Linked DNA regions of Schizosaccharomyces pombe. The gene in region 2 interacts genetically with the main gene of each other region. Each region holds a gene or a part of one and is shown on either strand. Other genes may lie near its edges. The genes, in order: sap18, mca1, set5 and hel2.

The links.
Region 1: mutations in mca1 (region 2) and sap18 together harm fitness more than expected from each alone (negative genetic interaction), as found in Schizosaccharomyces pombe (one large-scale study listed by BioGRID).
Region 3: mutations in mca1 (region 2) and set5 together harm fitness more than expected from each alone (negative genetic interaction), as found in Schizosaccharomyces pombe (one large-scale study listed by BioGRID).
Region 4: mutations in mca1 (region 2) and hel2 together harm fitness more than expected from each alone (negative genetic interaction), as found in Schizosaccharomyces pombe (one large-scale study listed by BioGRID).

The regions. Positions count from the first base shown.
Region 1 is NC_003421.2:2,137,470-2,144,295, forward strand, and holds sap18 (SAP128 family histone deacetylase complex subunit), read right to left. Parts: upstream 3,721-6,826; 5' UTR 3,706-3,720; coding exon 3,542-3,705; intron 3,375-3,541; coding exon 3,101-3,374; 3' UTR 2,414-3,100; downstream 1-2,413. Other genes in the region: SPOM_SPCC126.12 (NGG1 interacting factor 3 family protein), read left to right, coding at 652-865, 919-1,233, 1,286-1,456, 1,522-1,658; U5 snRNP-associated protein Prp18, read left to right, coding at 3,721-4,677, 4,723-4,797; putative signal recognition particle subunit Sec65, read right to left, coding at 5,210-5,586, 5,640-5,862; lsm2 (U6 snRNP-associated core protein), read right to left, coding at 6,702-6,727, 6,786-6,826.
Region 2 is NC_003424.3:2,982,459-2,991,892, reverse strand, and holds mca1 (transcription factor), read left to right. Parts: upstream 1-3,039; 5' UTR 3,040-3,463; coding exon 3,464-5,557; 3' UTR 5,558-5,883; coding exon of another isoform or gene 5,884-7,107; 3' UTR 7,108-7,160; downstream 7,161-9,434. Other genes in the region: chaperone Rot1, read right to left, coding at 1-395, 622-736, 786-920; U2 snRNP-associated RNA-binding protein Sap49, read right to left, coding at 1,433-2,328, 2,386-2,497; SPOM_SPAPB1A11.03 (L-lactate dehydrogenase (cytochrome)), read right to left, coding at 5,884-7,107.
Region 3 is NC_003421.2:2,033,694-2,040,697, reverse strand, and holds set5 (histone lysine methyltransferase Set5), read right to left. Parts: upstream 5,020-7,004; 5' UTR 4,938-5,019; coding exon 3,978-4,937; 3' UTR 3,705-3,977; downstream 1-3,704. Other genes in the region: met1 (uroporphyrin methyltransferase), read left to right, coding at 1,256-2,746; protein Dms1, read left to right, coding at 6,692-6,766, 6,824-7,004. UniProt on the Schizosaccharomyces pombe protein: Histone methyltransferase that monomethylates 'Lys-5', 'Lys-8' and 'Lys-12' of histone H4 (H4K5me1, H4K8me1 and H4K12me1, respectively), thereby controlling gene expression and remodeling chromatin structures.
Region 4 is NC_003421.2:1,831,785-1,838,159, forward strand, and holds hel2 (ubiquitin-protein ligase E3), read left to right. Parts: upstream 1-2,789; 5' UTR 2,790-2,828; coding exon 2,829-2,925; intron 2,926-2,970; coding exon 2,971-3,168; intron 3,169-3,226; coding exon 3,227-5,130; 3' UTR 5,131-5,680; downstream 5,681-6,375. Other genes in the region: RNA polymerase I upstream activation factor complex subunit Spp27, read left to right, coding at 199-391, 464-675, 809-958, 1,130-1,276. UniProt on the Schizosaccharomyces pombe protein: E3 ubiquitin-protein ligase that plays a key role in the ribosome quality control (RQC), a pathway that takes place when a ribosome has stalled during translation, leading to degradation of nascent peptide chains.

The DNA.
Region 1 (6,826 bases), on a different chromosome or scaffold from region 2:
AATGCATTACCAATGTATATGTTTTGAATGTAACGAGTAGTCTAAGAAGTACTAGAACCGATTGAATGATAATGAGATTGCATTCGAACGTTTTTAAAAACTTGATGAACTAGAACACTAGACACTAAATTGTTTTGTACGTTTAATAAACGAGATTTTTTTTCCTAAGAATTTATTTCATGTCCCGAAGAATACGCACTACAAACATTAAATACTGGATGCTCTTTTACAAATGGGATAGAAATGCCTATGGCCTCTTCCTTTGACTGAAAAAATATTTTCTATAAACAGAGGAAATTAATAAACAAAGTAAATATTCAAATTGTGAAATTAACACTCAGCATTTCTTATATAGAGGCATTTGCAAGCGTAGATTTTTTTAGCTGTATTAGGATAGATAAAAAAATATCGGTAAAATAATAAAGTACTACCTAATCGTTTTTTAATGCTCGCTATGCAGTTCAATATTTTTTTACCGATACGCAGGACTGCATAGTTAAAATTGTGTATTGCTACGCGTTGCTAGAATTCCTTCATGCTCTACAGAATTTAGCAGATTTGAGAAAGCATATCCTAGGACTAAGTGTTGTCGTAAACGTGGTCTTACGGTCGTTCAGGAATCACTGCGTTTAATGGTATCTTTCCCCAAATATGTCTAAGGCAAATATTTCTTCCAAATTAAAAAAAGTAGTTGAGTCCATCTATAATCCAAAATTGGCGGATTCTTGGGACAACACTGGGCTTCTGCTTGAGGCTCCTTTCCCAAGAACAAATGCAAGTTCCGTACTTTTGACGATTGACTTGACTGAGAAAGTTGCTGAAGAAGCTATTTCAAATAAACTTGTATCATCTATTGTAGCATATCGTATGGCGGTTAACCTTCTACTTTTATTGTTTACACAACTTACTCACAACTAGACCCCATTATCTTTCGTGGGCTTAAAGCCATCACGATGGAGGATCCCCAACAAAGAAGCCTTTTAAAACTTGCTGCTGAAGGAATTCACGTTTACTCGCCTCATACAGCCGTTGATGCTGCTGTTGATGGAGTAAATGACTGGCTGGCCCAAGGTATAGCTGGAGGACGAAACAACATTAAAAGCGTGGTCCCAACTCAGCAAAATTCTGTCATGGCTGAGGCAGAAGGTTACGGTCGAATTTGCGAACTGAAGATTCCTACAACCTTGCGTGAATTGGTCCAAAGGGCTAAGGAGTTAACCGGCTTGCAATATGGTGAGCTTCTTTTTATCTTTATTGTTAATATTGTTAACCTATTTGATTGTAGTCCAAGTGTGTGCACCTAACGGATTAGATTCTCATATTTCCAAGGTTTCTTTATGTGCAGGTTCTGGTGGATCTGTGGTTATGAATACGGATGCAGATCTTTACTTTACTGGTGAATTGTCTCATCATCAAGTTTTAGCTGCGATGGCCAAAGGAATCTCAGTTATATTATGTAAGGAAAAATCTGTTCAGTTCACCTCTTTGGTATTATATATTATTCAACTAACAACAATGTAGGCGGACATTCCAATACAGAAAGAGGTTATTTAAAGGATGTAATGTGTCAAAAACTGGCTTCATCCTTTCACAAAGAAGGAGTAGATGCAAATGTGATTGTATCTTCTATGGATGCTGATCCTTTGACTACCATGTAGATTTACTAAAATAAAAAGCTGTTACTTATTTAACATAAATTGAAGAAATGCTAAAATTAAATTGCATTAATTTTGACTTTTCACAAAACTCATAATTTGTAGATTCTTCTTACTCTTCTATATGAAGTACATTTTTTAGAGAACCAAACTGGTTGATCTTGAACCAGGTATATTAGGAAATTTTTGATTTATGTTTTACTAATATAATATCGGTCATAATGATGCCAAAGCTTCAAAAACTAAGCTTTGTTTAGCTAAATAAAAAAGTTTCAATTATTTACTCTCCCTCCGGGATTCGAACCCGGGCTGCAAGCGTGACAGGCTTGTGTACTACCCCTATACTAAAGGAGATTATTGAAAACTTATTTTTTTTAGTTATACATATTGTAATACTCATATTAAATTTAAATGAAATTAAATAATTGAAGGAATATACTTTGGATTTAGTTATGAAACGAAGATATCAGCTTAAAGTTGTTGTAAAAATAATAAGTGATTTTGGGCTGTTAGCTTGTAGCACCGATTCAGAAAATAACAATTCAGCTTCTTACAGCTGTTGCAAACGGAGTAACCTTGATTCATGTTCATTTACTCTAGCAATGATAACATCGGGCTGTAATAAAACTTTATAAATATTTAAGTCTGTTACTTGCCTGAATTATAATTTAACTGTTTACAATCCGTTTTCTGTTTGTATGGGTTGCGAATGGTTTTTTAATTGTATTTAGGCAAAAAAAAAATACGAGTTTTATATTTTGAAAATAGTTAAGTAGCCAAAGGTGAGTTGACAGCATTTTTAAAGGAATAGATATTTACATTATGAGGATCAATGGTGCATTTATCATGCGAATATCAACCATGTTAATAATAGAAGTTATAATTCTTTTTTGAAAAATAGTTTCAATCGGATTTCCGAATGTTAGCGCTATTAAACAATGGAAAACATTAACCGCTTAATCCATCGCTTCAAAAAAAATGATAAAAGATTCTGCTATTTAAAGTGTTGAATCCTTTCCAATGTGAATTATAATAAAAAAAACGCTTTCTTTTCCTACAGCATATATATAAATTTAGCAGAAGTGATTCCTGAATCCTTGATAGGCCTCGAGCTAAAGTATATCTCCATAACTCAATAAGGAAAATAGTAAGTACACTAACAATTTTTTCTTAATGCGTCAAAGGTTTTTTTAAGAGTATGGGAAAAAAAAATTTCTCAACTTAAAGAGCTTCGAATCTTTTCAAAGCTTCAAAGCTTATAAACATACAATATGAGATTAGTGAACAGGGTTGTAGCGGTTTATGATTTTGTATATAAATAGAATTAAGATAAGCTTTTAAATAAATCTTACAATAGAATTCTTCAGTCATGCACTTCGTTTTTTATATCGTTCTCAAACCCATTAAACTTCCAAAAAATATATATGTACCATCCGATCAAGGAATCACTTTTTTATTCTAATTTTATCCTCTTTTATGGTAACATCAATTTTGTCTCCGCATTTTATTCCCGTTCTTTTCAATAATTTGTTGCCTTGAAATAGCTTTGGATTGTGCAAACAAACAGTACCTAGATCCCTGGCTATCGGGCGATCTTTATACTTATCGTAAAAAATTGTTCTAATTTGCAATGACCATTCAGAATGTCTTGTTTCTTCGTTATTCAAAAGAAGTTGATCTGCAATGAGAACTCCCAGTTCATAAAGGGTCATGGTCAACCTAAGATTAATCGTTAGCATAAAAGTTTAAGATTTGAAACATATAAATCTAATTGACATATAAATTGTTCATGGATGATCCTTTGACGGATTTTCTAATCGTAGTCCCAATGAAGTATGAGTTCATATACAACAACTGAAATTTTCCCGTTAACACGATTTACTTACCATCCATAAACTTGAATAGAAGGAATCACGTCTTCAAAGATGTCTAAAACATGATTTTTTGTTTGGAACTGATGATATACTGAAATGAGAAAAGGGCACGGACCAACAGCATCTTCACTTTGGCTTAATTCAGGAGATTGAGAGCGACTTTCACGAATATCCATTTCTAAACCTCCCAAATGGATTTTTTAAAGGAAGAAATTGAACGTAAACGTCGCCAACTAGAAGGAACGAGCGAACTTCCGGTAAAAAAGGCGTTTCGACGAGGGGATTGGGAGAAGGAAAGGGAAAAGAAATATCTGCAGGAAAAACAACAAAAGGATGAGCAAAGAGAGTTGAAAAAAAGAAAGTTGGAAGAAGAACGTCTTAAATATGAAGAAAAGAAGTTACGCATTTCACGACTTGCGAACAAAGAGAGCAGTAGAAATGAAGAGTTGCTTACAGAAACAACAACTCCCTCACCAGCTGTCAAAGCGTCACCTGCAAGTACAAAATTATCTGTCTCCGAAAACGACCGTTTATCAATACCTGAAATCACAAAAGACAACCTCACGTTGACCGAAATTATTGCAAAGCTTCGTGAGATGAAAGAGCCAATTCGTTTGTTTGGAGAGTCAGAAGAGGCTACCATTCAACGATATTACAGTTTGCTAAAATACAAAAAACTGGAAGAAATTGAAAATGAACTCCTTACTAAAGGAGTTGAAACAATCGACTTTGAGCATGCTACTACCACCAAACCCAAAGTATCCAAGCAAGTAGTTGCTTTTCTTCAACATGGAATCCGCATTTGGGACAACTTTTTGTCTTCAAAATCCATCAACTCTTTCGAAAGTTCTGAGAGTCAGATGCAATTAAAAATATTTCGTCAAGCTAAGCAAGATCTTGATGTACTTATACAACTGATAGTCGATGAAGCTTTAAACGACGATATTTTTAAAAGCATAGCTGAAATTTGTTACAGATGCCAAAAACACGAATTTGTCAAAGCCAATGATATGTATTTACGTCTGACAATTGGAAATGCACCTTGGCCTATTGGAGTTACTATGGTTGGTATTCATGAAAGAAGTGCACATCAACGATTACAAGCAAATCCAAGTTCAAATATACTTAAAGACGAAAAGAAGAGAAAGGTAAGATTTTAGATAAAGTACCCAGTCTAACCTTTCACATGTTAGTGTTTGCAAGCTTTAAAGCGATTTATTACTTTTCAGGAAAGAGAGTCATCAAACTTACCTGAATATACGGATTGAAGTACGAAAAAGATGCTATTTGTTGTCGAAAAAGAATTTAATTATACAGTTCACACTAAACTTTTGAAAACGACTATGTCAAACATGGTTTACTAATGATAGAATATTCAAAAATTTCGCCTCTGAATTGGCATGAAAGAAACTACAATGAAACAGCTTCTGATATAACGAGAGGCGAAACATTTATAAAAGACAGAAAAATATTAAGTATGCCACCAGAACTCAGTCTTAAAAAAGCAGAATGTGCTGTGCAAATGAACTCATCTTTAATGAAACTCTACATCCATACTCATTATTAGGAAAAAATTTTTTGTTAAAAGATGACGAGAAAAAAAATTTACTAATATCCATGAGCGTTTGCTAATAGTCGAAAGCACCTATATTCCTAATATTTCAGTTTTAAACAATAAGTTTACTCCAAATCCAAATCATATTCTGGTTCAATTGACTTTTGTTTTCGCTGGCTTGAAGATGCTTGGGGAGTTGGCATAGGAGGAGCAGGGCCTCCCATACCAGCAAGTGCAGCCATTGGATTCATACCTCCAGCTAATCCAGGTTGCTTTTGCATTTCCTGCATCATTTCCTGGAACATATTTTCAGAGATACCACCGCCAGATAAAGCAGGTGAATGAAGAGGTAAAATCGTATTTCCTAAAACCCCCTTAGGATATGCAGGAGGATTTTCAGGAAGACGTGCGGGAACATTTTGAATAGGTAACGATAAAGGATCTGTCTTAACAGTTGGGCGAAGAAGTAGTACTTTGGCGATTTCGTTTATGACATACTTTTCTACATTCACAGTCAGTTAGCATACGAGAAAATAAAACTAATAACAATCTTACTTTGTATTTTTTCAGGTAATACCATTTCGACTCGACCTGGATTGACCCAATCTGCAGGATGTGTCTTCAATGGTTCCAATTTACATTTATATCCCAAATCGCGAACAACATCGGCAATATTTTTAGCTAACGGATTTAAAATTGCTTTGTCTTTTGGTACACAACGAAACCTACGTGGACGGCTCTTGTCAAAGTAAATGGGATATAATATGATAGATGGCATGTGGATGGTGAGTGAGGTAGTTGGCAGCAAATGCGATATCATACTTATGCTGCTCAACCGTATGTAGTAGATAAATACGATTTTACTTTCAACTTACTACTGAACATTTCAATTATTTTTAAAAAGAAGACGTTTTTCATGATTAACTTAGAATAAAACTAAGAACACTAAAAAAGTAAAATCGTATCATTCACTGGGAAGATCTTAAAAGAATACAAAATATATTAAAAAAACGATGAAAGAGAGTGTGCCTGATTGGCTTAAAGGTGAGATCGGTTGAATCCTACAAATGAAATCAGTAAAATAAATTGGAAGAAGAATTAGACTTGTAAAACACAAATCTGAGTGGATATCTTTTAAAGTAATACAAACGCTCTGTTGCTAATGATGCATGAGTGCTAAAAATTCCCTCTCGCAGCAATAAACCGATATGTAACGATGTATGTATTTTATGATAATTGACAAAGTCTCATCAACTATATTAATGGAAGAAGCCGTACACAAAAATCATGTAAACGCCAACAATTTTCTACTTAATTTTTTTTTTTGAAGATAATAAAACGGTAATTTTAAGGGATCGGTTTCAGGCATAATAGGGAAGCTGGATTTAAAAGAAAAGCGAAAAGGTAGTAAGAATATGGATGAATGAAAGGGGAGGAAAATACCTTCAAACAACAATGGTCCTTAATAAAATGATGTATATACACATGTATATTCCTTTTGCGGGCATGAAAAAAATCGCAATGGGACACATGATGAATAACCGAACTACGATTAAATAAGCAATTAGTTCACGGTTTCCGAATATATTGACCAAAAAAAGGAAATTTTCAAAGGAATTATTGACGCTTATTATTAGCCAAGTCTAAAAACCAGTGAGTTAATAAGGCTAAAATTTCAGTGTTTAACAAATCATGGCTTACCTCTACGACAAGCATCAGCTAATAAAATAGTATCAACATAT
Region 2 (9,434 bases):
CCACCAAATGGTATTGGTATGCTTCTGAGCTAACGGTACTAGAGGAGCCGTCCAGCGCTTTGCTGCAGTTTGAATAGTATTAACGGCAATAGTTGAGGTAGGGAGCATCTTAGGTGGACGGTAAGCTAAAAACATTGGCTGCTTTGGTGTTCCGTCCCATTCATAGAGCTCTAATTTGTAGCGACCATGGTATCTATCCATAGAAATTTCATATTTTTCCATAGTTTCAACTTGATCATAACGGGTGTAAACAGAAAAATTGCTAGTACAAGGATCGCTTTCTAATTGTCGTCCGTCTCCAACAAACGGAGTTAATACTAAAGTACCGGTATCATTGATAGCATAAGTTCCATGCTGCCATTGTAAAAAGCCTTTGGGACATTGAGGCTTTGTAGCTAAATTGGGTTAGCAAAAATATTAAAGAAAAATAATATCTTCTCTCCAACATATCCTTCCAAATGGAAGAAAGTTGGTTACTTGGGGAATTTCGCTAAACATGAACGAGAAAGTAGTCCGTATATCCCAATAGTTACGTCTTCATCGGCTTTAATTCCTTGGATCAACCACACTGTAGGTGTTGACTGGAGAAGATTTTACATATTATAGAGTATTATCACATACCATTTGATTTGATTATGTAAATAGCTTCCTCAAAAAAGCCATCATCAGTAAAGCTATAACTAATACCCGGTAATTCAGGTTCGAAGAAATCCTCATCCAAAGGGTCAAAGAAATCCTGCAGAGGGTTAGTTAGACAATTTTTTGAAAATCAAAAGTTAGCTTACGGGGCCAGTCAAAACAGTTTCAGACTTGGAAGACCAAGTTCCGACTAGATTTTCATCGTAATTATCAATTTCCGCACCAACATATTGGGTGAGCCACAAACAGGTAAACAAACCAATTTGATAAAGAAGATGCATTGTGCTGAATGCTTTCTTATAGTTTTCTAAAGGGTCGAATAAGAAGCTGTTACCAATGTTTATGCAAAAAACTTCTATATGGTTGTTGACACAAGTCTTCGTGTACTTGATTTATTTAGTTTTACGGGATAACGAGTCAAAAATAATACTTCACTAATATTGGTCAAGAGATTAGCAGCTTATATTTAATATAATGCTTAGACTATACTTTCGTTTGGATTGTATACATAATTCAATGTATCTGAAAATATGTTGGATTGAATTAATGCGTCGTTTATAGACTATATTGCCGATATTTAGGGACGAAGTAAAACTCATTACTAGAAAAAGTCAAACTGTAAAATATAAACAAACATCAATTTTAATTTCTTTTAAATAAGATAAATCTCAGCTTCCACTTTTTTTACTGTACACGTTAAAAAAAAAATCAACCATACGGATCAATCTCAGCTATTTTACTATGCCGGCGTTTGAGCAACAATGGTAGTTATTTTGCTTCTTTTTAAAATATTTTACCTCCTTTGTTGTTGACTGTATCCATTTTGTGCATTGATTGTTTGATAAAATGGTATGTTTGGCATTACAGGAGCACCAGGTATGGTAGCAGCAGCAGGAGAAGGAGAAGCCATCACCATTCCTGGTGGTGGAGGGGGGACAAGTGGTGCACCTCCAGGGCCCATTGGAACATTCATCATTGGCATAGCAGGCATTCCAGGGAAATGCTGTGCAGCAGTGAAAGGAAGAACATTAGGTATTGACAAGGGAGGGACGGCAGTAGTTGCTCCCACTAGAGGAACATTCGGTACAGGAGGTATCGATGTAGCAGCAATTGTTGCTGGAGTATTAGCAGCAGATGTTGGAGCAGGAGTGGCGGGTGAAAATCCTGGAGGCAGAGTACTCTGAGGAGTAACGGCAACTTTATTCTTTTTAGCGGCTGCTGCTAGCTTTCTTTCCGCAATATCTCCGTGACGTTCACCCTTTCCTTCGCGTTTAAAGGCGTATGACACGGTAATTGGTTTATTCATTAAAAACTGATTATTCATGGCCTCAATGGCTGCATCAGCGGTTTCAAAAGAATCGTAGCTAACAAAACCATAACCTTTCGACCTTCCATTCTCGTCTCTTGCTACCTGAGGTGCCTTGACAAGTTGTCCCAAAGCAGAAAATGTATCGTACAATACGCGTTCATCAACAAGAGGATCCAAGTTGCCAACAAATAAATTTGCACCAATTAAGGTATTGACTCCTCTGTCCTGGCTAGCTCTATTGACCCTTATAGGCTTTCCAAACAACTTTACTTGATTCAGAATTTGACATGCATACTCAACATCTTGTTCGTGTAAGAATTCGCAGAAACCAAAGCCATTATGACTATTCCTTACTCTATCTCTTGGAATATGAATATTTACTGTATGAATTAGTATCGAAAGCCACAAATACAACCAACACTCGAATAATTACATACCAACTGGACCTGCCTGCAGGCATAACTCAAACAAAATAGAATCCGTTACTTTTTCATCAAGATTGCCAAGATATATAGTTGCATCCTGATTCCTGTCTTCTCGAATACTCATTAATAAATAAGTAAAAATAAGTTAAAGTGTCTATTATAGAAATTTATTAGAATAAATAGATAGACACGTTTGAAGACGCTGGTAGAAGATTCAAGAAATTGGTGCATAGTCTCGTTATTGACTTAATGACGAGCACCAAATAGCACAATAGAAAACTAAATTACAGTATTCATCGTTAAAATTTCAGTGTCCAGCGTTTTCCAAACACATTTATGGAGATTTTTAATACTAAATCTTCGTTTTTTTTTTATTATTTTATAATTTTACTCATGAGATTGAATTATATTCAAGTTGAAGGTACAGTTGTGAATGGTAGACTGACGAAATATTTTTTATAGCAACCTATCTCTTTATACAGCCCTAATTTCCTTACATCCATCGTACACTAGTACATTTAATAGGTTCATTTATTAACTTTTTGTAAAAACGATGTTTGGCCATGTATATTTATTTTTGCTGCTGTAGTTTTGAACACAACTGAGGGCTTATTTATGTTACCCTAGATGGGCTTTTTACTCCCATGTGGTCTTTGTAACCTTCTTATGATCTTCACCCTTCAGGTGATACCACGACTTCAGTTGAATTTTATAGCTTTTCGAGTGTGTTTTTAATCAAAATATTTCTGTGATGTTGGTGTTTTGAAAAAGCGTACTTGTGTAGTCCTAGATGCCCCTTTTTTCTTTCACTTAAGTCTATTATTGTTTATGTTTAATTTTCTACTTGCAAACTTTTCGAAAGGACTGTTCGTAGCCTTTACGTTTATTGCTTATTTATTTTTTCTGATTTAAGCTCGTGAGCTTTTTCTAACAGACGTACGATCAGACAATTGGCACGTCTGCTTTTCTTTTCTTTTCTTTTTTAAGACCTGTCTACTCAACGCAGGATTTCTTCGATTATCTAGGTTTTTAAACGGTTTAAAAGGACACAGAATATTTTATTACTTCATTTTAGTATTTTATTTTCGACATGATTGCTGCTGTCGAAAAAGATGCTGTGCCTCGAAAAAGGCGAGTAATCAGTCAAGTATCTCAGGCATGCATTCGGTGTAGGCAGAAAAAAATAAAGTGTTCTGGTGAAAAGCCATCATGTCAAGCTTGCAGTAACAACAAAGTTGAATGCATTTGGCCTGATCGACCGAATATGCGAGGCAAAAAGCCATCTTCCGCTGCCAGAACCTTGAGTCCTCTTACTGGTATAGTGCAACCGTATCTGGGCTCTCATCCTTTTTCTCCTACGATCCTCTCTCCATCATCTCCTAACATGGATTTTACTTACTCTATTAATAGCTTTGGTGACTATCAGAAGCAGTTAAGGCTACCAACCAGTAGAAAGTTATTACAGCTTTGGGACATATTTCTTAAAACTTCATATACCGAACTTTTTGGGATATTTAATAAGGCCCAAATTACGTCTCAAATTGCAAGTGATACTGCTCCGCCAGTCCTCGTACTTTGTATATGTGCTCACGCTGCTCGTTTCAGTCAAGAGGAAGTCAATAGATTTAAATCTTCAACTGCAGCATCTGATTACTACGCAAACCAAGCCTTTTCACTGCTTCCTTGTCGTTTCCAGGATATTTCACTGACTAATATCACTTGCCTGCTCTTGCTTTGCTTAATTGAGTTGGGCTCTTGTAGAGGCGCTAAAGCCTGGCTTTTACTGGGTATGGCTCTCCGTATGGTCGATTCTTTAGATCTTGGTAACGAAATAAATGATAATCCTCTTACGATGGGATCCAACACTGTTTCATGGACTGAAGCCGAGCAGAAAAGAAGGGTTTATTGGGCTTGTTTTTTTGTCGAACGTTTGCTAAGTACAGGTTACATGGCACCTTCAAAATTGCGCTCACTTTCTTTATCTCTTCAAAAGACTAGTATACAATTACCTTGTCCGGAACCTAATTTTTTATTTAATCAGCCAATTCTTACTGAGTTATTTGATGGATCTTTACCGGAAAACACTCAGTCAGACACCACTTCAATGGCCCCATACCAAAGAAGTTTACAACTGGAGTTTATGACGGGTTCCCTAATCCGCTTGTCAAATTTGTGGAGTGAGATCTCAAGATGGGCTCTATGTGGTGGATACACGAAAGATATCACACCCCCTTGGCTAAATCAGTCTCAATTCCATCGTAGCTTTGAGCTTTTAAAAGCCTGGCATGAAAATTTACCTCCAAGAGCAGTTTGGTCATACACTAACTATTCGGCGTATAGTTCTCCCGGAGAATCGGCTGGTGCCTGTTACACTTTTATGCATTTGCTATATCACACTACCTTGACCTATCTTCTGAGAAACGTCTTAGATTTATTTCCTGAGAAGTCGAGGCAGAAATCCAAACTTTTTTCCTCTGTTTCACAACGCTTCGGACAACAGCCTCCTACTGTATGGATGGATATGATTTTAGATCAAGTCATTACTTCTGCTGATTTCATTACAAAACTTTCAAAGGACCCCTTAAACTACATAATGAGCCCATTTGTGGGGTTTAGTATATTGACTGCTGCTACTATCCATATGCTTCTTAAGTTTTGTGTTGTCAACATCGACCAAAATTACATTTCTTCCTCTCGACTTGTACACGTTGATCATCAGATTTTACAGGATCGATCCAAATATTGGAAAATTAATCAAGCAATGTTGGTAACTCTTCAGAGATTGTATAATTTCTACCGCTTTCAGTATTTAGAGGAACAGTCACTTTACAATTTCAAAATTCCAGGATTTCCTTTATGTATTCTAGAATATGGTATAGTGGAAGATCAGTCGATGAAGTCTAATCCTGATCTGAATTCATTTTCAAAAGAGTTGTTTTCAAGAGGAACAAACGAGCTTTTGAATAATGGCGATGATACTCAAAGTGGGAATTCGACACCTGCTATGGGTGTTTCTGAAATACGAACTGATACTATTCTGGATGAGGAAGTCCCCGTAGACCCACTGATCACTTCGATTTTAGATGACGGTCGCTGGTGGGAGGAAATGTTTGGATCAGAAAGGAAGGCGGGTTTTAAGGAAACGGTGTTCGAAGACATGAATGGAAGAAGTATTCGATTGTAAATTATACGATGTACAATAGTTTCTTTAGTTTTTGTTTCTTTATTCTTTTGTATACTAGCACTCTAATTTAAAAAGCTTATAATGCTTTACTTTTTCTACACCCCTGGAATTCCTTTTATTCACGAACTCGAAATTAATGATATTGATGGAACTGGTTACTTGAGTCAGTTTCTCATAACACTTATTGATTGCTTTTTATGCTTATTAATATAAGTTACTCATATTCTTATTAATGGGTAGTTTTATATTACTCATAGCGTAAATAAATATTAAATGGTATAACGGGAATTAAACTAAATTTGCTGATCATTAACTAATGCATAAATTTATTCCTCCTTATATAAGACATCACGGTTTAAGTCCTTTGGTTTCACAGATACAATACCAGATAGATGTAGCGTTAATTCCAAATCTCCCAAGAGACAACGAATGACATGACTAACACCGGATGAACCTTCAAGGGCTAACCCGTAAACATAGGGACGACCGATTAAAACCATCTTAGCTCCTAATGCAAGGGCCTTGGCAATGTCAGCACCTGAACGAACACCAGAGTCAAATAGAACATCTAATTTATCACCAACAGCATCTACGATCTTTGGTAGCATCGTCAAGGAAGCAACACCTCCATCTTGTTGTCTACCGCCATGATTTGATACAACGATGCCCTGCATGCCATATTCAACTGCCTTCTTAGCATCAGGAACATTCATGATACCTTTGAGAACAATTGGGCCATCCCAATGTTTACGAAGGAACTTCAAGTCTTCCCAATCATGGCTGATTCCAGGAAAGACAATTCCAGCAAACTCTTTAGCTGCCTCTAACATATTTTCTTCGACTTCCACACCATGCTTCTCCTTAAACTGCTTACGGAAAACGGGGTCGGAAAATCCGTGTTCAACACCGATGCTGTCAGGATTTAAGAATGGATCGTAACCATTGTCCATGTCTGAGGGACGCCATCCAAGAATAAATGTGTCAAGAGTAACTATCAAAACTCTGCAGCCCGTTTTCTTGGCGCGGTTGAGCAAACTAATGGTAATGTCTTGATGGTCATTGCTTGGCCAATAAAGTTGATACCATCTCTCTCCAGGACCACTAGCCTTTTCTATATCTTCAAAGCTGGTTGCAGACGCAGTACTGATAATATAGGGTATATGCTCTCTAGTTGCAGCGGCACACGATCCACTTTCACCCTCTGGATTGAAAATTTTTTGTACTCCTACAGGAGCCAAGGCAATAGGAAAAGGATATTTTTGGCCAAAGACAGTGGTAGACAAGTCGGGGAAACCAGACTTGATGAGACGGTTAGGAATGATGGACCATTTCTTAAAGGATTCCATATTTTTATCATATGTCTCTCTTTTTCCTGCACATCCGTAAACGTAGCCGGCGGCATCCTTGGTCATTCGCTCAACAGCCAGTTGCTCCCAGTGTCTGCCATCTACGGTGATTTGGGGTCTTTGAAACTTGAGACCTTTAGCGTAAATTTCGGACTCATATGAAATGGGCTCTTTTGCGTCAAACCAATTGTAGTTGCGGAACATAGTTAAATCGTATTGAGAATTTATTGATTACTTAGATAATGTCTTCGAGAAAGGGAAGAATCCAAAAATGTCGTAAAAAAGTAATAGAAATTAAAATGATGAGTTTCTTAACTTTTAAGGTTCAAAAGTCTTCTGATATTGCAATGAATGAGTGAAAATATCGGACCGACAATTTCAACTTGGGACGAGGAGTGTATAAAGGCGAAGTTGTATTTTTTTAATATTTCTTAACAGATAAAGTGGTATTTAAAAGTAATAGTTTATATTGTTTTTTATTACAGCAATTCAGTGCTACATTTATAACTTTTGGTTTTCGAAATTATGTAAATATGACATCTCAAGTTTCATATTAAAACATTTGTAAACGAATTCGCTTTCCGTACCCATTGGGAAAAGCGAAATCCCGTTTTTGTCCAAATTTGAAACAACCAGAGATGATTTCATGAAACCTTTCATTAATTATTTTCCTAATGAATTTAGATGTATTGCGCTCAGCTACAAAGTCCATGTTCATTTAGCATCCTTTCTTATACTACGATGGCAAAACGGCTAGCATGAAATCGGTTCATTTCTACAATATACAAAGTAATACTGACATTGATTTACCTGCTACTAAAAGGCCCACGTGCCCGTGGGTTTCTCTAGCTAGTTTTTCCAACAGGACATATCTTATAACGATATAATGGTGAGTAAGTTAAGCATATTATTTATAGCATAATATCGTAATGAGGTTGGTAATTAATATTTTGCAAATGGATTCGTCTTGTTCTGCAACTTTGACATGTTGCTAAACCGTTCAATCTATTCTTTGCTAAAGAGGCTATAGGAGGCCAGAATTAAAGGGGGTGGTTTGATGTCCGGAAAGCGTATCGACCGATATTGTAAAAAATTATAATGTTAAATAAGAAAAAAAAAGTTATTACTTTTACGTTTCAACACTCAATTCAACGTCTAAATGACAAAGGATGAACTCTTTAGGTGATCAAGTCAATAATACATAATAATGTTTGGTATGTAACAAGACAACAGACATAACTACGACCCTGTGTTGCTCCGAAAACGCCGCTGAAACTGGTACTTTGAGATTCATAATATATGTCGTCAGGGTGAAAAACTATTTAACAAAAAATAAAGTACATCACAACTATCAGATATGGGATAATCGATAAGAAACAAGAATATCTATTATTATTGTTATACTATTTATAGAATCACAAAATGCATTCTGCAATACTTGTAGCTATATTAACAGTTCTATAATCAACCAGTAGTGGTTGTATTCAAGAAATCTAACTAAATGCTACTTGCTTGATCACATAGTAAGCGTTCTTAAACACTGGAATTACCACAATTCCAGATTATAATAGTATGCAAGTATAACTATCCCGATATAACGAAACATTACGTCACTTCAAATAATGTACATCGTAAGAAGACTTAAAGGAGAAAAGTGCTCAAAAGGAAATTTTCTTCTAGATACAGTACAAATGAGTTTGTCGTATTAGTTATTAAAGATTAGAATTTAAAAACCCCGTATTTTTTATCCCAAATATTATTATTATTATGTTTTTTTTGGAAGTTTTATAATAATTTTATTTTTTTGGTACAAAAGGACAACTAAATTAGTTCCAACATGTTATACTTTAAAAGCAAAATACATTTTGTAGCTCCGAAAGCATTCATCTTTGGTTAACGTGATATAACTCATAATTTGATTTTTTTAACGGATTTATCTCCTTCCGCCAAAATATATCATTCTAGGCCTCGACTTGGAGGGAATAGAATTTTGACAGGTGAATTGGATTATTAATGAGTTTATTAAAAAATATCAGATTTATGAAACAGCTACTCTTACTATTGGCGTTCGGTTCTACCCAATTGGTTGTTACCAGTGTTCACGGATAATTAAATAGTTAAGTATGATGAGTGTTGTTTGAAGAGTTCATTTGTTGCTTTATTTAATTAATTTTAATATTAAAAGCCTTATTTTAATAATTGACAATTGTTAATTAACGAAACAAGTCTTGCCTTTCTTATAAAATGAATAAATGAATAGGACAAGTTTCAATCCAGTAGATAAATCAAAGTTCCTTTTTTACATTTATTATTCCATAAATTCAAAGCAAACCTCACCTAAAGTTAGCCATATCATAAATTATACTCATCTTTCTACCAGCACATGTATGTGCGGGATGAATCTCTCTTAGGCGCCTTTTAACAGGTAAAGTACCTTAAAATTTAAGAGGTGGAGAGACAATGGATAACACATAGTCAATAAATCCCGGACGCCTGCTTTCTTCCGAAGATGATTTCTTGATAAAGTGGCT
Region 3 (7,004 bases), on a different chromosome or scaffold from region 2:
CTACACTTGTTCGCTTGACTCAAAAAGTCGATTCGCCTCTTGAAATATCTTTAGAAAAAAAGAAAAGAAAACTCGCCGTCAACAGAGAGTTCACCCATGCATGAAGAAAATGTAAAGTTATGAATACGGAAAATATGCGTTTAGCGCTTACAAAAATTCGTTAACGTTAAGGCCTATGTGAGCAACATTATCACTAAACATAATATATATTAACATCTCTGATTTGGCTAGGAGGAAGTATGACATTTACAAGTGGGCCATTTTTTTATTGTGGTTTGTTATTTATATGAGGATTCAGATGTTTGCATTCATACTTAAGTAACGCAGTTCGAAAGCATTTTCTTTTTTTGTGAATATCAAAGCGTACTTCCTTAAAACTTTTTACTCATTATCTTACTAAGCCAAATTTTCCCCAAAGCTAGAGGAAAGCTATCATGCAAGTTAACTTGTTAATTAGCAAAAACTACAGTGACTAAGGGACTCGTCATGTACTAACTAGCAAGGTTATTTTTGTACTATATCGTGCAATAACGATGCCTTGATAGAAATATTTTATGAGCTCTACCGCTGGTACTTTACCTGGTTTAAAGAAGTATGGTTATTGGTTGATTACCGTATTCCGCAAAAAAATTTTAACGATCAATCATTTTTGCAGCAAATTGCGCCATCATTTGGTGATTGATGTATGCAGTCATATAAAGTGTAGGCAAGACCTCAAACGCTCATCAAGCGAAAAGAACAAGGAAGGAGGTCGGATAACGGGTTGTTGTAATACGTAAAGAGGATTTAAAGCGATATTCGGAAGTACAAAATTTATTTATTGTTTTCATTATCGTTGAAAATCTTTATTCAATTTACCGAGGTTTAACGACCACTGCACAATTGTCTTTCTCTACAAGTTAATCAATCAGTTTAATAGTGTTGCAATCAATTGCTCGATTGCTTCGTAGAAAGAATTAAAATTTGTAACTTAAGCTAAAGGCTAAATTGTTGGTTTATGAGATATTTCTTTCCTTTCTTTCCCGCATTTTTGCGTAGAACAACAAAGTCTGGTTTTTGCAGTACTTCAGCCAGCAGCTCTTCTTCTCCACCAAGACAATCCAAAACGAAGTGACTAAAATTGTGAAAAATTGAAGTGAAAATATATATATTGGAAAATAAGATTGACGCAATATTTGGAGATTAAAAAAAAATTTTGGGCAAAAACCTATTCTCTACCAAGTACACCTGAGTTAACCTATTAGAAACTACTACAATGATTGTTTCCTGGTCCTTGAAAGACGCCGTTGTTGTAGTCGTTGGTTCAGGAAAAAATGCTTACCGACGGGTGAATTTATGTTTAAGTGAAAATTCTTCTAAAATTTTTTGGTTTTGTCGCAGCTCCGCTGATGGTGGATTTGACGTTGGTCATCTTCAGCTTGACGCAAAAAAATCGGATGCTATTGAAATTCTTCCCATTTCTGAATTTGATCCCGTTCGTTCATTAACGACGCTGGGAAAGGAGGAGACAGATTTTTTGGTGGATGCTGTTTTCGTGTCAGAGTCCAACCACCATGAAAAGGAAATTTTACATCGTACGTGCAAAAGGTACCGAATCCCATTAAACATCATTGATAATCCTTCTTTGTGCTCCTTTACTCTACCAGCTACGTGGTCAGAACCACCTCTTCAAATTTCTTTAAGTACTTCATCAAATGGTTGTCGTTTAGCTCAAAGGCTGTTGAGACACGTGGTGAGTAGCCTTCCTTCCGGTATGCCAGAAGCCATTGAGCGTTTTGGCCGAGTGCGAGCGATCACTAAAACTCCAGAAAAAAAACAGTGGATCAATCATGTTAGTGATTTTTGGCCCCTCGAGAAGTTGGTTCGGATGACAGAGGACGATCTTCTTGCCATAGTTTCTGACAACTTCTCTCTTCCACTCTCATCAAGCCAATCTTCTTCACTTGCCAACTCCTATGAAAGTTTATCAACCACCTTGGACAAGCCTTCATTGACGCTTGACCCTGAGGCTTTTCCTACTCATAAGCGAGGTTCAATAGCTTTAATTGGAAGTGGACCTGGCTCTCCTGATTTACTTACTGTTGCTGCCAGAAAGGCTATAATGAAAGCCGATTATGTACTAGCCGACAAGCTGGTACCAGAAGCGGTATTACAGTTAATTCCAAGGCATACTCCACTATTTATTGCTAGAAAATTTCCTGGAAATGCGGATAAGGCACAAGATGAACTTCACCAGGTTGCTTTTGATGCTTTATCTAGAGGTGATTATGTTGTCCGTTTGAAGCAAGGTGATCCTTATATTTATGGGCGAGGCGGTGAAGAGTATCTATTCTTTACACAACACGGTTATGTACCAACGGTTATTCCTGGCATCAGTAGTGCTTTGATGGCCCCTATCTCTGCTGGTATTCCCGTTACACATCGTGGAGTGGCCGATCAATTTCTTGTGTGTACTGGAACTGGTCAAAAGGGTTCGATGCCTAAAATACCTTCTTTTGTCCCTACACAGACCACAGTTTTCCTAATGGCTTTACACCGACTAGAAATTCTTGTGCAAGCACTAATTGAAAGCGGTTGGCCTAGAGTGTTACCGGTTTGTATAGCTGAGCGCGTCTCTTGCCCTGATCAAAGGTTCATTTTCTCTACTTTGGAAGACGTTGTGGAAGAATACAACAAGTACGAGTCTCTCCCCCCTGGTTTGCTGATTACTGGATACAGTTGTAATACCCTTCGCAACACCGCGTAACTATCTATATGAATTATTTTCCCTTTATTATATGTAGTAGGTTCGTCTTTAATCTTCCTTTAGCAAGTCTTTTACTGTTTTCGACCTCAATGTTCATGTTCTTAGGTTGTTTTGGATAATATGCGGTCAGTTTAATCTTCGTTGTTTCTTCTTAAAATATTTATTCATGGTTTAATTTTTGGTTTGTACTTGTTCAGGGGCCAGTTCATTATTTACTCTGTTTGTATACAGCAGTTCTTTTATTTTTAGTATGATTTTAATTTAAAACAATTCTAATGGTCAGTGGAAAGATATTTTGGCTTGATATTTGTGTACTATACTCATCTGTATTACTAGCAACTGCTAAATAAAGATACACAATCATAACCTGTTATTTTAAATGTAAGGATAGATGAACAAATAGATAGAATCAACATATCAGTTTTGTATTAGAACATTTTGATACACGTTTCATGATTCATTTATCCAATATAGTTTTAGTAGAATGATATTCATTTTAGTAGATAATCTAAAAAAGCAAATATTAAACTGCATCAGCCGGGAGTCGAACCCGGAGCTAATGCTTGGAAGGCATTGATGTTACCGCTACACCACTGATGCATTTATTATTTAGAGGTTAAAGAATATGTTATATATTGTTACAAAAGCAGTGTCTTAAGAATGTGTATAATTCTGAAGAAATTTTTTGTTGTTTTGAATAATAAGGAATATTTGGTTTATTGATTTACTGGTTCTATTTGTGAATCGGCTTTTGCTCAAAATACCGAATCTATTTTTTGGATATTTTAAAAAAATCAGCAAACATGCACCAAATGCTTAAATCTCTTCAACAATAATGTTTACAACTCGATAGGAAGTGATTACTCAATACTGCAAACCCTTCTTATAAATTTCTTTTATAAATACCTTTTGTATGAATTAAATCAGTACTCACTTCTATGCTAAATACTGAATATTCTCCATATTAAAATATTCTCAATCATTTACAATTCATGCCAAACCCCAATAGGTTTCTAAATTTTTTATTTATAAAAAAGAAAGGAGATACAAAAACTCTAGGATCTCAGGAAGATAGTTTCAATTTCAGGTTTTTATCATCCATAAAAGTTTTATAATTTTTCAATAGAATAAATACAATCCCAAGCTCATCAAACTAAAAGTTAAGACGAGCATTAACAATACATGCCCAATTTTCCAATAAAAACAAAAACAGTAGTTTTTTACCCCATGCTTAATCAGTATCACTATAAACATCTTCTTCAAGCTTACATCCCCATAAATTATCTTCCAAATCCGATAGTTCATCATCCTCTTCTAAAAATAATGGTAGAGCAGGCACTCCTTCAGCAAGAGCATGACTTCGTGGGTTCTCTACATACTTGGAAATTTTCAAATATTTTTCAGAATCAGTTCCTTCATACAAACTAATTGCTTTAGTCCCCTTTTTTGCAAAAATACTGGCTCTCTCAAAATCACCGTGGATGACACATAATCGGAAGGCATCCAGAAGTGCAATTATATCTAACCGACCGAAAAGAAGCTCTTCGTGGGCAATGTGTATCCTATGTCTCAATGCTCTTAGAGCACCTCTTGGATTAACTATACACATTTTTGCCATGGTTCGGTCATAGTAGGCCAGTTGCTTTCTCCTTAAATCGCTGATTTTCCTAATCTTTCGTTCCTCTACAGAGCAAACACTACAATAACATTTAAATCCAAAATGCTCGAGCAATATTTTTTGTCTTTCCGTATGTGATTTATGTAAGTCTATATATGTCGTAAGTATTTCCTCGCCAGCCTCGATGTCGCGAACAGCATGAACCGTAACCTGATCAAGTCTAGGATTCCACGTATGTTTCACGTTAGGACTACAATCGTGATTCATTCGAGAACCAAGTAAAAACATTCCACCCTTTGTCTCATCAATGGTCAGCGCATTGGAATAAAATGGCCCAAGGAATGGTCCCATAGTGTCTGGATGAGCGTTGAAAAGTCTATGAAAAGCTTCCTGTTCTTCTTTTGTTTTTGTAGACAGTGCTTCCTCGATTTCCTTAGCGTCACTTTTTGTCCTTATCAAAGGCGTTTCTGCAAAAATTCTTGTACCGACGGGGATTTTTACTTTTGCAATCATACCCATTCCTTTGTTAGGAATGGGGACAACTTTATAAATCTCTGTTTCATACGGGTTCATGTAGTACGATTAAGCAATACATTAACGCATGGACGCTTAAAGTTTTCAAAGTTTGGAGATTTTGGTGGTTACGAAATACGCTGCAAAAAATAGAGAAAAAGAATCCAATATATATGGATAAAGCTGAAAATAGTTCTTTACTATTTACTCCAATATTTCTTTTTCTTTTATTGTACTTTTAACCCCAATTGGTTATATCACAATTTGTTTTTCCCAAGAGATCTGTCAATTTTCAAAAAAAAAAAAAAAAGAAAAGGAATATAATTCGAATTTCAAAATGTTCAGAGTGTTATGGCATTTTAAATATATTCCTAAATTTATTATTAATTATAGCAATTTGTTTATATTTTATTGTCAAGGATCTTGAATTAATCATAAACTTTGTCATCATATTTTTTTATAAAATCCTTCGTACAAGAAAAATGTAGATTGGCAATTGACGAAACAAAAGCTCCATTTCTTACCGTATCAAAGATATCAAAACACGTAATTAAAATGGTTTAAAAAATCCTTCAAACGATGGTTTAGCATTACCAAAAAATATAATCGCAAGTTTGTGATTAAGCTTAGATTGAAATCCTAGAATTTATTGGTATGTTGATACCTGAAACAGCTTCTGCATTACATTATTATTATTATTTTTTAGATTTAAAAAATAAATGTCAAACTATCATGAAAAAGTACCTAAAATGAAATAAAAGGATGCGCATTATTCGATATGCATGTGGAATTGGTATACTAAAACTTAGAGAATTACTGAACTCAAGAGCAAAATCTTGCTATGGCCAGTTCTTCATAACACAGTACTTTATATGTAGATATTGTTTGAAACGAAAATTGTAAATGTCACTTCGGTTAATGTAAGTTAAATCACTTAAAAGAAACTGTACCAGAGTTTTTGAGATTTAGGATTTGAAGGGTAAACTAGAAATAATTTGATTTATTATAATATTCGGCATTTCCGTACCTTGTCAATGTGTGAATTATGTGCATAGGTATTTCGTAGGGTGAACAAAATGAAACTTGACCAATGTGCCCCATTTCAGACCTTGACAAAATGAATGAAAGTTTTAAGATCAGAGATACTTTTTCACTATAAAATTCTTCATGTCAAGGATTATTATAATCTCACTCTTTCTTACTCGGCGTCGATGATTTTCGGTTCAATAAAAAAAAACAAATTGTTGATTAAAAAGGAATAATAAAAAAGAACGAATCTTATTCTAACTCGCCTACATTTGTTATTATTTACCTACTTTTTTTCTGATATTTACTACTACATGCCCTTTTCAATAATTTGGTAACTCAAGTCACATGTTACTTCGATAACTTTTATGAAATTGTCTTCGTTCATCTTCAACCATTAGTCCCTTACGACTTAGTTGATGAATTTTACTTGAAGTTTACGATACTATTTAATTAGTAAATTTTTCAATCAATAGGAAAAACAAGAAGTTTTCTTATGGAAATGATAATATAGTTACAACTTGACTGACGGCATACTCCTTTCTGTATAAAAAACATAGTTAAGGTCTATTGATAGAATTTTTAATGTGTTTATGATAATATTTTTATTTATTAAAGCGAAATCGAGTTATTAACTTCCTTTTTTGTTCTGATTCACTGTTCTTTTGCATCTAAAATTAAATTTCTTTAAACTCCTTTCGCCGGAAGAAATTCAATCCCTTCGAGAACTATTTGCTTTCAAATCAAAATTTATTTTTGAAAATTTATTAAGTTTCACTTGTTGCAGTATGAATTCCGTTCCTAATGAATTGACGAAAAGCCAAGAGTTGTTTGGACAGATCTCCAAGATATCCCATTCGAAGGTAAGTTAAATCATTTCTATAGAAGCATCTTGTTTTCCTCTCTAACAATGGTTGCAGATTTCCATTTCCGAACTTATCACTCTCCTTGACATTCATTATAGTGAGCTGTTTACGAAAAACCCTTGGATGAAAAAAGAAGTCCGAAAGTTGGCTTCGGAATTTGTGGAGAATGATCCCAATCACCTTTTATCGAAACAGGACGCTTGTCATCTTATTGAAGCATTCGTAAACGTTTCTA
Region 4 (6,375 bases), on a different chromosome or scaffold from region 2:
TCCATTATTTTTAGTTTTACAAGAAATTAAATTGAAGCTTTATGTATTTACATCTGTAAAAATAGCGTGTTTTTCAAAATCGCATTTAGCTACACCAGCGCTCTTTCCTTCTTTACCGTAATCTATATCCACTACCACCGTCTCACTACACCATACTTTGACCAACACAGTAAGGTGGTAGTATAAAGAACTAGAACGATGGAAGAGTACGAAACAGACATTAAGCAAATTCTCGGTACAGTTGATCGCCAAACTGTATCTGCGAAGCAAGTTCGTCAACTTTTAGAAGAAAGAAGAAAGGTAGATTTGAGTGCGCATAAAAAAGACTTGAATGCGCTGATTTTGAAATGCTTTGATGAAACCGCCGCACCTTCAGAGAAGGAGAGTTTAGGTAAGATGAGAATATTGCTGGAAGAAATTTGCAAATAATAATGCAAGAAATAATAATTAACCAAACTTGTAGAAAAACAAGCACCCGCTCGCAAAACCAAGGGTAAGAGAGCGACGGAAAATGGCACTGAAGAAGGCAAGAAACCAGCAAAGAGAACCCGAAAACGCAAGGAAGATGGAGAAGAGGGTGGAAAACGCAAGAGGAACCAAGATCCTGCCAACAATCCTCTGAATAAGCCTATGAAGTTGTCCCCTAAGTTGGCCGAATTTTTGGGTCTTGAACAGGTAAGGCGGTGTTGTAGTGTGGAAGCCGTGCCTACTCGTTCCATTCAAAATCTTGTTGTTTTGAAAAAAGAGGCAGGCTTACATACTAAATGTTTATTTGCACGCTTTCTCTGCTGATTGCTAACTAACGTAGTTATCTCGTCCCCAAACTGTGAAGAAGTTATGGGAGTATATAAAAGCACATGACTTACAAGATCCCAACGACAAGCGAACAATTCTTTGTGATGACAAATTGAAAAGCGTTTTCGAAGTCGACACTTTGCATATGTTTACCATGAACAAGGTAAGTTAATCATGGATGGGTTCACAATTGTTTTAAGGAGGTTTGTCAACAAACTTTTACTTTGTCGATTGTAACTTTCCTTGTCTACTTTTTTCATTTGGTTACTTGTGGAAAACATTCCGCATTGCTCTTTGTTACCTGCTGCCGAAGCTAAGCTAACTTAATTAATAGTACTTAACAAATCTCATGACGAAGATTCCTGATGATCAATTGCCCAAACCTCAGCCTAAAAATGAAGAACCAGCGGCTCCGAACGATCTTCCCAAGCAGGAGGAAAAAGAGTTGGTCGAGCCTCCTACCGCCGAATCCACCGCTTGAGCCTTTGTGTTTGCTGCATGACCATATAAAACAGCCAAAACTTTTTTTCATATAATATCTTGCAATAATCCCTTTTTTTTTTGTCTCCAAAAATCATTCAAGTTTTTTGCTTTCATTGCATGCAATAAATGTTTATTTCGTTCAATACTCGCTTGCTTACCTGTTTTTCCTCAACAGATTTTGCCTATGTCCATGTCATATCCGTGCTTTAATACTAGAGGCTATGTATGTCTAGAGAGTCTCCACGCATAATCAGATATCGTATTTTGCATTACAACTTTCTGATCTTAAATGCAGTGTGAAAACAAAAGTTCAGGTTGCTGACTTTAGACCTTGGGTTGCTACAAGAGGTAATTTACGTTAGACTGACTGTGATTTTACGAATATTTCTTATCACCTATTCCTTATGGATATCTTTGTGCTTTTTTTTATAAATTCATATAGCATATTGATTTTCTTTTCTAAATGAACTGTTGTGCATGATGGAGATTTTCATGTATTGTATTAACACTTTCTTCACCGCACCTTTAATTATTTTACCGCTGCTTTGCTCTATAATATCATTGAAATAAAAAATGATTCACTTCAGCCCATTGTCGGGGAATTTTGTTTACGAAACCACCGTCGCTTGGAGCTGTCGAAGCCATATCATCAATAATAAATTTTATTTACTACCCTTGCGTATTACAAACCCATAATATGATGTTTGCTTTACAGTTTTGGATGATCTAAGATATGGCTTGGTTGTATGACTAGTACTCGTCTTGTGTCTATAGTGTATATATTAAATTATACGCAAATGGATGTTTTCTGGATATATGCTTTTAAGTCTCAAATAATGTACTGTCTTTTTAATTTGTTTATTATTTTATTTTGGGATTTTCTTTGGGGTTGCAAACCTGTCATCCGTTTGTTAGAGTATGTTTACATAAACATTTTTGTGTGCTTGTGGGTCGTTTTTTTTTTGGAAGATTGCTGCTTATAACCGTCAAAAGACTTATAAATTGATTAGACTGAGTGGAAAGTGTTCTTCTCTTTTATATTAGTCCTTAATGAATATACTTATTATTGATTGAATCATTTCATGGTGTTTACGACTTCTAAAGATCCAATCACACTTTAGATGAAGCCACATTTAACAGTTGTAACAATTGCATTTATTTGTAGACAGGACAACGCTTGCTTACATACATACACGACTTCTTGTTTAAGCACAAAGTAAAAAGATTATGGCGAAAAAGTTAGGGGAATATTTTTTTCAAAACAAATTAGTAAATTATATAAGCCCTTTATAAGAGATTGCTATTTACTTCCGCTGTACATTCAATGCTATATACGTTTCTAACAAAATATTCGATGCACGTTTCAAAAATCAATTCAGAAGCTTAAAAACTTTCCAATAATGTTGAAATTATAAATATATTCTTAGTTTGCGATATTCCAGCTAATTCAGAGGTCTCCAGCTAAACTGTTTTTTTTAGCATACAGCAGCTCGCTTTACGAAATTTTATTTACCCAGCGCCATACACGCAATCTTCTATAAACAATCAAAATGTCGCCTTCGGGCCCCAATTTAAATAATAAGGAGCACAACAGAGCATCGGAAAAAAAGAATTCTAGGACTCATAATAAAAAAACTAATAGGAATCGTACGTAACTTCCTTGTTGACATATTCCTTTTAACACATTTCAAGAAAGTAAAGAGAAACCGGTAAGCTCTAGGTCGGTAGAAACTCCAAAAAATGCAGTTTGCTTAGAGCCGGTTGGCACAGATCCTGTCAGTAATGTCGCTACTGTTGATGCTTCCAAAGAAGAACAGGATGAGGATGAGCAAATTTGCTTCATTTGTGCTGAAGGTATTACTTACAGCTGCGTCCTTCCTTGCAATCATCGTATGTCTTGTATCATGTTTTAAAAATGTTACAACTATGTTTAATCTAACTTAATTAGGAATGTGTCATGTTTGTGCTTTGAGATTGCGAGCGCTATACAAAACGAAGGAATGTACGTTTTGTAAAACCGAATGGGATACGGTTCTCATTACTAAAGATCATGAAATCGATATTCATGATGTCGATTTAGCAAAACTTCCTTTCCAAGATGAGAAACTTGGAATTGTGTATTCTGACGAGCATGCTCAAGAAGAATCCAACCTCTTGCTTCAATTCAACTGTCCAGAAGACGCTTGCGATATCACATGCAAAGGCTGGTTTGATTTAAAGCTGCATGCGAAGGTCAAACACCATAAGTTTTTCTGTGATCTTTGTGTTAAGAACAAAAAGGTTTTTACCCATGAACACACGCTATTTTCCAAGAAAGGATTGACAAAGCACAATGAAGTTGGAGATCAGGGATCCGATTTAGAGATTACTGGATTCAAGGGTCACCCGAAGTGTGAGTTTTGTAATACCCATTTTTATGATGATGATGAGTTGTTTAAGCATTGCCGTGAAAAACATGAACGATGTTACATCTGTGACCAAGTTGCAGGAAGGCCGACGCATCAGTACTTTAAAAATTATGATTCGTTAGAGCGCCACTTTGAAAAAGATCATTATATTTGTCGTGAAAGGGAGTGTTTGGAACGTAAATTTGTTGTTTTTGGAACTGAAATAGATTTGAAAGCGCATCAGTTGGATGAGCATCCCCACAACTTTACTCAACGCGAACTTCGAGAAGCACGAAGAATTATTCCTCAATTTAGTTACGACCCACCCGGCGCGTCCGGCAGGAACCGTCGTGAACGAACTTCTTCCACACCATCCGAACAATCTACTTCAGTGAATGAGACTGCCAACTCACTCTCTAACCTACACCTTTCCCGTGGAGAGATTGCTCACTTACGACAAGAAGAATATGTTCGCGAGCAACAAGCTCGCCATCGTGATTTTGGTTTCACGTTATCAAATCCGGCGCCTACATCTGCCCGCCCAGCGACATCTACTAGAACCATCAGCAGAGGAAAAACTAGAACGTTAAGAAACGAAGATTTCCCCTCTTTAGCCGAGGTTGCTAATCAAAATAGCTCTTCCGCACCCTCAGTACCTGTCTCCGCGCCTCGTCTGTCTGGTAAGTCTGCTTCAAGAAATCATGTTCCATCTCCACCCAAGGGCACTAAATCCCCGATGGCCTCTTCCGAGCAAGCACAACACCAACAAGTAATTGATCGGATGCAAAAATTGACGAATTACGATGATCACAAAATTAATGACTTTAAATTTGCTGTTTCTTCCTTCCGTGGTAATGTTATGCCCGCTCGTGAAGCTGTTGCTCGCATTACAAAATTAGTTGCAAAGCCTCATGAGCAATTGTCGGGCGTGTTCAACCAAATAGCAAATCTTCTAGAAAATAAAGAGAAGTCAAGGGAATTGTTGGAAGCTTGGCAGGAATGGAAAATACTGAATGCGAAAGATGATACTCGTATAGGTACTACTAACTCTAATCTTTTGCGCTTGAAGAGATCAAATAGGACTGCTGCTCAAACAGCTAGTGTTTGGAATCGTATTGAGCGTGCAGCAGCTCACGATGGGCCTTCTTTGTCTGCTCCATCATCTTCTATAAACCTAGCAAATATTACCTCAAGGCCAACGAACAGCTCAGCTGCAAATACTCCTTCTTGGGGTGTGCGCAAAGCACGTGCATCTGCGTTAAATGCAAGATCTGAAGAAGATTTTCCCGCACTTCCTCCTTCTACCTCGAAGAGAATTTCTGTTCAACTCGGAAAAAAGCAGGCTCGTCCCGTTGATTCATGGGGGTCTACACCAAATACTTCTTCCAATCGTAATAGTAATACGATGGGTGTTTCAAAGAAAAAAAACGGAAAAAAGCAAACTGTTTTGTTTCACATTGGTTGATTTTGGTTTATTGTATATAATAATTTTATTGATGGATGGGCATTTCGTTAATATATAATAATTTTGGGATGTACTCATTTATAATCTAGCACTTTATACCTTTTACCTGACTGTTGGGTTGTTTATCTGACCTCATAAAAGAAAGTGTCGTTTTGGAAAAATTAGCATTACATTGAGGGTCCTCCGCTAATGCTCCTGCGAAAAATGATTTTAATTTTGGATGTTTTTTCAGAAATAAAATGAAAATTAGCTTGATATAATATCAACCGGCAGCGAGTAATAGATTTAAAATAAATTTGATTAATTAAAAAAATTTGTTGTTTTAAGCAAGCCATTTTGCTAAAATCAAAGGTAATGGAAGAGTATTTCCGAAAAATCTCAACACATGTGAATGATCAGAAAATTATCGCCATAAAAGACAGAATAAGTCATCAGCGGTTGTTTCATTTCCTATATTTTTTTTTTATTTTTTTATTTTTTAATAAGGGAAAATTTAACGTCTAAGGATACAGAAGATTGTTAGCACATTAAAGTAATAAAGGCTTAAGTAGTAAGTGCCTTAGCATGTTATTGTATTTCAAAGGACATAATCTAAAATAATAACAATATCATTTCTCACAAGTTATTCAATTTTCTTTTTTTTTTCTAATAATATCAAGAATGTATTATTTGTTTGACATAAGTCAACTAATTTATTTAATATGCTGGATTAATCTTGCAGACATGTAAATTAACAAGTTTTAGTCAAATAACGTTGAAGTTTCAATGAACTCAAATAATTTCTCTTTTTTTTTATATAACCATATGTCTAATCTGATTTATATTTTCCGCAGGGATCAACTGAAGTTATGACATTTGGATTGGATCACTTATAACCTTGGTCGCCAAATAATACAAAAATCAGCGTTATAAAACAAAGAAGGTTTTTGTTAAGAAATTAATCCTCTTTCTTGATAAGAAAGTTGAACCGAAATTGCAGATACTGATATATGAAAATAATACCCACAATTTTGGGAATAGCGCAAGCCTCAATTTAAACAATAGGTGAGGACACATGATAATGACCTCAATGATTGTTAGAAGAAAAGAGCCTCATTACAAAATCGAAAAATGAATGGTTGGGTACAAGTTTCCAAAACATGGTAAAGTGGACTTTGCGTATGAGACGTAAATAGAAAAAAACACTTGTTATATGTTTTCTAGAATTATTGTTGTCTCTTTATGGTTGGATGATGCAAAATAGTA